Arabidopsis thaliana: one gene and its partner. The protein of the gene in region 2 interacts with the protein of the main gene of each other region in a pairwise test. Each region holds a gene or a part of one and is shown on either strand. Other genes may lie near its edges.

Region 1 (3,759 bases), on a different chromosome or scaffold from region 2:
GTTTGACAGTAATTAAATAAATGTTTTTTTGATGAATGAATGAAGACAAAGAAACGTACCAAGAAAAGTGGAGGCGTTGACTGGCGTAGATGTTTTGGGATGAATCTTAGCGAACCAAAAGGGGACCACTCTGGACCGTCCGATGACACACATGTAGCGAGCCTGACCTAACATTGCCACCAAAAGTGATGTTAATATCCCAAAGCTTGCTCCTATCCCCACCACTTTCGTCACCCATTCCCAGCCGTTCGATCCTCTGAACGCCGCGGAAAACGGCGCCTCCGGATCTATCTGCGTTACAACAACACATGCCCCGCCGTTTTCAGCTTTAGACTCAGACTACGTGCCGTCTTTATGAAAACGGAAATATACAATAAGAAAATAATAAATTTGAAGTACGGACCAGATCGTATGGCAGAAGCATTGACATAGAGACTGCCATGAGACAGTAAAGAACGGTGACGATTGCGACGGAGCCGGAAACACCGACGGGGATATCTTTGACCGGATTTTCAACTTCTTCCGCCATGGTTGAAACGGCGTCGTATCCTATGTAGCTTAAGTAAACCATGGCAGCTCCGTTGAAAACTCCCGCCGCGCCGAACGGAAAAAATCCCGAGGGGTGCTCTGGATTCGCCGGTGAGGATAGATTCTTTGAATCTCCTTTTATGAATCCCATCACGATCACGAAGAATATGAATGCGATGTGAAATGCAGTCATTATCATGTTCACTTTGGAACTCTCTCTTGTACTGCAACAGATGATGACTGTGATTACGAGGACGACGAGAACTGCGACTGGATCAATCTCGTTGAATCCTTTCGGTAAACCGGAGACGACGAATCGCCACTTGGAAGTTGAGATCCCGAAAGCTGTTCCTAAATAAGCGGTGAAGCTTCTCGAAACGGCCGCGTTTGACATTACGTAATCCATTACAAGATTTGCTCCGGTGAAAAATGCTGGAAATTCACCTGAACGGAAATGTAACAGAAAAGAAATCAGTTACGGTTTTTGATTTTGAAATTAAAATTTTCAGAAAACCGTGAACAGATCGGAGGAGTAGTGATGATTTTCGCGGGAGACTAACCGAATGTGATACGGATGTAGCTGAAGGCACCGCCGGCGACCGGGAGATGGACGGCGAATTCGGTGTAACAGAAAGCGGAGAGGAGAGCGCAGAGCCCGGCGATGGCGTAAGAGACGACAATTGAAGGACCGGCGTCGAGACGACTAGCACGGCCGGTGGTGACAAAGACACCGGCGCCGACCATTCCCCCGATTCCGAGTCCAATGAGATCGTACCACCGGAGAGTACGGCGCATCTGTTCGCCGGAGACGGCGCGGACGCGACTCATCTCGTCGGAAGAGGTGGAGACGGAAATAGCGCGGCGGGATAAGCGAGAAGGCGTCGCGGAAAGAGAGTTGAGGTAGACGCGGAGACTGGAGAAAGAAGAGTGACCACCATTGTTGCTGCTGCTTTGGACCTCCATTTTCTCACCGGCCAGATTCGGGTCGGGTCGGTTTGTGTGAGAATTTTGTTGAATTTGACAAGAGTTGGTTTTATATTAGAGATTAGGAAAAGTGAAAAAGAGAAGGATAGGGACAAAGATGTAATTATGACGATACTTAAGGGCATTTAAATGTTATAAGTATTGTTATTAACAACAAGATTGTTCCCTAATTCTTATATTCACATTAATCACATAAGCATCATCAGCTCAAAAGCTTACTAAACCCAAGATGCTTTATCTCTTTGGTCCAATTACAGTTACATTTATATATACTAATTATGCTAACGCTTTTATTGATTCATATACAAATCATAAACTAGTTTGGTAGTATATAGTATGTATTCACATCTAGCTAAGCTTGTAAACTATTTTTGTTGACCATAAACCACTAAAATTGGTATTTTATTAAATATCATTAGACTGCTGAGTTGTAACAGAGTGGCATTTCCTATGGTTATCTTATTTTGTTTTGTTTTTTAAAAAATAGGAAAAAAATGAATTACGGTTTTTATTGAAGAATATTCTTTTTTTTTTACTACTTATCATTAATTGTTAATAACACTCTTTATTGTTTAAATTTATAGATTTGTACTCAATTATTTATATTTAAAAAAAATATCTCAACACTATAACACCATATAAACATTCTAATAAGATATGTTTTTAAACAACATTATTAGTATATTTCAAAATGGTCAAAATATTTCGAACCTGAGAAATGAACTTTTTAATCATAAATATGTCATTGGAGAATCATTCCCACATTTTTCCTTGAAATGAGGGTCTAAAATTGATGTTATTATAGACAAAATTTTGTAATTGCGTTCCTTGTAATTGATAGGGAATTAGTACTAATTAATGAAATTAATACCATAATTGTGTCTATGACTATGATCGGTTGTTTGAAACGTAACGACTCTCTGCTTCAAAAGCTCTTCCTTACTTAGTTCCCGAGGTTATGAAACCGTCACGGACGTTAAAAAGAAAAAACTAAACAAACGGCGTTAACTTCCGTATATCATAAGACACGGTAACGACGTTACCTCTAACGGCTATGTGTGGTTTAAGATTCACACGTGTGGCAAAGAAGGTGACACGTGGGATGTTGTTTTGTTTTCAATGGATAAGCACACAGGTTTAAAGCGAAGCGTGACCAGAATTTGAGGAAATGAGTTTTTGTAATTAGTTGGTTCTTTTCGACAATCTTCTCATTTTTTATAGTTGGCAACTTGGCATTACTAGGAAAATATTATCGCATATTTGCAGCTAATTAAGGTCTTCTTCAACTGATTTTGTCTCTGCATTTAAATGTTTTAAAACGAGGACACGAATAGTTTGGTACTTAGAGGAATAAATAACCGCAAATCTTGTGTTGGTACAGTTTGTAACTTAGTAATTTGTTTTAGTGTTAGTGCCGTGTTATTTGATAGTATGTGTGAGTGGTAATATGCATGAGTGAGTTCTTGAAAAAAAAGATGAGTGATCTGTTCTCTGTGATAAGGGCAACGCAACATGTTTGCAGGTTGTATCATGATCCTGATGAGTATTCTCCATAGAGAAATCGGCATTAGACTCGACGCTTTAAGATGAAGAAGAAGCAATGGATTGACTGATTTTATTTTCATGGGTCGAACTCGGAGCCTTTGATGCTGTTCACTGAAATCCAAAATCCAAAATCACCAACACCACCAACTAACCGCATGTGTATATGTAATCCAAAATCAACACTATTTTTACCACACCAAAACTCACTATAAGGTTAATTCGAATAGAACTCATCTAACCATCTATGAAACTTGATTAAAAAGTGTTGTAGAATGATTTGTGTATGTTTATGTAAAAGTTCTATCGCTCCCAATCATACCCGTAACTGGATACACGTTGCAATTGATCTTTTTATTTTTTGGTTGGCCGCGCACTGCATTGAATTAACACTACCTTATCCAAACAAATAGTATTAAATATCTACTTCAATCGAACACTCTTAAGCCTCTCTTTGTTCACAATAATGATAATTAGATTAGTGTCAGCAACGTTGACACATATTCGTATCTACAACACACATACGCATACATTTATATATAAATTAATTTCGACAAGAATAAATTATGACTTGTATGGTCACCAATAAGTCTCACATTTTTGGGTACACAAAAGAGTAATAATGAAATAAATAAAAAAGATAATGTGGAGTGGTTTATACAGTGAGTGGGATGGTCAAATCTGAATTTTAGATAAGATGCAAAA
Region 2 (3,759 bases):
TTATTTTCTGATCTTGAAGTGAGACTGGCTTTTTAAGGGAGGAAGAAAGAATAACTTGCATGGAGAGTCTATCGGTACAATTATAATAATCGGTTGTAGTACTATATGTGTTTTCAAATAATTAAGGTTCCTTGTTTTGGAATATGGGAAAGAGTTAGTTAGTGTTATTCGTTTCCTGATGTTTCATGCAAGTATTCTTTGGGATGCTGTTAAGGTAATCAAAGTCCAAATGGCCAAGGATCTATACTGTATGTGGCTTTTTATCTGTCTATTTGTATCTTCTATTATTGAATTTGGATAATCTTGTTGATATTGATTATTTTAGCCTTCATGTCATGGGTCAATTCATCTACCTACTGATATATTAGGCCTAATTAATGAATCATATGGCCCATTTATGTCGAACTCAATCTCAATTGTTCGGTCCATTCTTATATTCTGCTTTTTGAATATTACACCATTAATAAATTTGTATAGTCATGATCCTTTTTTTGGTTAAACAGATTTTCTGACGAAGATAAATTGATGAAAATCAAAACAAATCTCACAATCTTTGTCGTTATGGGAACCATCTGTAACCATCCAGTAGAATCGAGTTCCTGGTTTCAAGATGTCAAATTATTTAACTACAATGACTCGCCATTTTTTCAGTATTATTACCAATGATATCTGAATATCTGCTCTATTTAGGGACGACAATATTATATCTTTTGGAGATATCTCAATAGCCTAAATAAGGTTGAATCACAAAAAAAAAAAAAAAAAAAAAAACATTTGAAAATGCATATTTTAATGTCAATTGGCGATGAGTCTTCTTTCCGCTGCCATCCATTTTGGCCGGGTTAAAAAGCTATAAAGATCTAAAATGATGATACCTTCTCATTAATAATTCGATCCATTGTAAAAGTATGGGGCTAAAAAGGAGACATTTCTAAGAAATTAGTGAGTTAAATAAAGCTTAGACAGCTAGACACGTGTGGTAATTATGTTTACCACTAATCCCACCTGATTAGCAATCATTCTTTCCATTGGATCCATCTCCAATCCTCGATTACCTCACAAATCACTATTTCTTCCTCTCTTTTAACCAAGTTTTTCTACTTCTAAATCAAGCGTTTGGATGTGCGATGCCATATGGTAGACAAAGGCATAAATTTATGTAATTTCGAGTTCCAGGTAACAGCTATGTAATATAATCGGACAAAACATAAAAACTTAGAAATATAATTGATTATTCTACATAAAGATCGTTATCATCCTCATCACAAGAAGGAGGAAAGGACCAATATGTTTTATTCATTGTTTCTAGTTGTTACAATCATCATGATTCAAATAATTGTTAATGATAATAATAGTTTAGCCTTTCTTTCAAAAAAAAAAAACATCATTGTCATCACTTCTATTTTCAATTTACAATTAGTCTACTCTCACTACTTTAAACTTTAAAATCTATAATTAGCTAACCCTCTTTTTTTGCATATTATCGGGGTCAATATATAATTAACAATCTCAAACCGGGCCTACCCGTTCGTGTAATGCTCCAGAAATATGGCCCATAAGCCCAACAATCAAATCAAGCCCATTAAAAAAACAACGCCACGCTCGCCGAAAACAGTAACAGTCACAAGTAGGTGACATAACTCAGTCACCAACCAATCATAAACCGATATCCCCATGACAACTCGTGAGCTGTGACTAAAGACTTCGTCCCCCGACACTCGTTACTCAATAATTGCACACAGAGCAAAAGAAAGGAAACAAAACCCATAAAACAAATAAATAAATGAAAAAGCTTTTCACTAGTCTATTTAAAGAGTGGAAGTAAAGAAGCTAAAGAAACTGAGAGAAGAAGAGAAAAATGGCGGCAGAGAAAATAGAGACAGTGGTCGCAGGGAATTACTTAGAAATGGAGAGGGAAGAAGAAAACATAAGTGGTAACAAGAAATCTTCAACTAAAACAAAACTCTCTAATTTCTTCTGGCATGGTGGTTCTGTCTACGATGCTTGGTTTAGTTGTGCTTCAAATCAGGTATGTACTTCCCACAGATTTAGTCTTATATATAGATGTGTATGTATCGTCTTCTATAGCTAAATTGTTATAAAAATGGCAGGTGGCACAAGTTCTGTTGACATTACCATACTCGTTCTCACAACTTGGGATGATGTCGGGAATTTTGTTTCAACTCTTTTATGGATTAATGGGAAGTTGGACTGCTTATCTCATTAGTGTTCTTTACGTTGAATATCGAACTCGTAAAGAACGAGAAAAATTCGATTTCCGTAACCACGTTATTCAGGTTTTATTCCACCTCTAATTCTTGTGACTCGTTATAATTTTTTATTTTTTTGGTGGTATTATTGAATTTTAACTTTTTGTTTTTTTTTGTTTGTGTAAAAAAGTGGTTTGAGGTGTTAGATGGATTGTTGGGGAAACATTGGAGGAACCTTGGATTGATCTTTAACTGCACTTTTCTTCTCTTTGGATCTGTTATTCAGCTCATTGCTTGTGCTAGGTAAATTAATAATCAATGTTCATTTTCTTTATTATATGGTTTTTTCATATTGAAAATTAATTAATATAAAAAATGATTTGCAGCAATATATATTATATTAATGACAAATTGGACAAGAGGACATGGACATACATATTTGGGGCGTGCTGTGCAACAACTGTTTTTATTCCTTCCTTCCACAATTATAGAATTTGGTCATTCCTCGGACTCGCTATGACCACTTACACTTCTTGGTATCTCACCATTGCTTCACTCCTTCATGGCCAGGTCATTATAATTAACACAAATCTTGTTTTGATTATTATAAGATATAGACATATAGTCCTGGTTATTGTTGTTTAATATATTTATTTTTCATATAAAAAAGGCTGAGGATGTGAAACACTCTGGTCCAACCACAATGGTGCTTTACTTCACCGGAGCCACCAACATTCTCTACACCTTTGGTGGCCACGCCGTCACAGTGTAAGTATTTTTTTTTTGTTTGGAAAAATAAAATGGCTTAATTAATGGCTTAACTAATTATGTATTGGAAATTTGAAAAAATATAATAGGGAGATAATGCACGCTATGTGGAAACCGCAAAAGTTCAAGGCGATATATCTACTAGCGACCATATATGTACTAACGCTAACGCTACCATCCGCGTCTGCGGTTTATTGGGCGTTTGGCGATAAGCTACTAACTCATTCCAATGCGCTCTCTCTTCTCCCTAAGACTGGTTTTAGAGATACCGCAGTGATCCTCATGCTCATTCATCAATTTATAACGTTCGGATTCGCGTCTACACCGTTATATTTTGTGTGGGAGAAATTGATAGGTGTGCATGAGACGAAGAGCATGTTCAAAAGAGCCATGGCTAGATTACCCGTGGTTGTACCCATATGGTTCTTAGCCATTATCTTCCCCTTTTTCGGACCAATCAATTCCGCGGTCGGATCTCTCTTAGTTAGCTTCACTGTCTACATCATCCCCGCATTGGCTCATATGCTTACCTTTGCTCCTGCTCCTTCAAGAGAGGTTAGATTTCCAACTTCCAAAATATCTATTTTAAAATTATAATTGTTTCATAAAAAGCTTGTTACAATTTTAGTATAAGTTTACAAAGAATAATTGGAAATAGTATATTATTAGTTTATATTAAAATTATTATATAGTATCATAGATTATGTAAAAATAGCTAAAATAATATTTTGGTATATCTAATTTTTGTTAAGTTTGATATATCGTAAATAGAATGCGGTGG

The links.
Region 1: the proteins of LAX3 (region 2) and CAT6 interact in a protein complementation assay, tested with the Arabidopsis thaliana proteins (one large-scale study listed by BioGRID).

What each region holds. Positions count from the first base shown.
Region 1 is NC_003076.8:1,376,850-1,380,608, reverse strand, and holds the start of CAT6 (cationic amino acid transporter 6), read right to left. Parts: upstream 1,989-3,759; 5' UTR 1,492-1,988; coding exon 1,089-1,491; exon of another isoform or gene 973-1,088; coding exon 404-972; intron 292-403; coding exon 60-291; intron 1-59. UniProt on the Arabidopsis thaliana protein: Permease involved in the transport of the cationic neutral or acidic amino acids.
Region 2 is NC_003070.9:29,201,417-29,205,175, reverse strand, and holds the start of LAX3 (uncharacterized protein), read left to right. Parts: upstream 1-1,757; 5' UTR 1,758-1,858; coding exon 1,859-2,029; intron 2,030-2,111; coding exon 2,112-2,297; intron 2,298-2,400; coding exon 2,401-2,513; intron 2,514-2,596; coding exon 2,597-2,780; intron 2,781-2,880; coding exon 2,881-2,978; intron 2,979-3,067; coding exon 3,068-3,533; intron 3,534-3,749; coding exon 3,750-3,759. Other genes in the region: AT1G77700 (Pathogenesis-related thaumatin superfamily protein), read right to left, coding at 1-28, 354-429. UniProt on the Arabidopsis thaliana protein: Carrier protein involved in proton-driven auxin influx.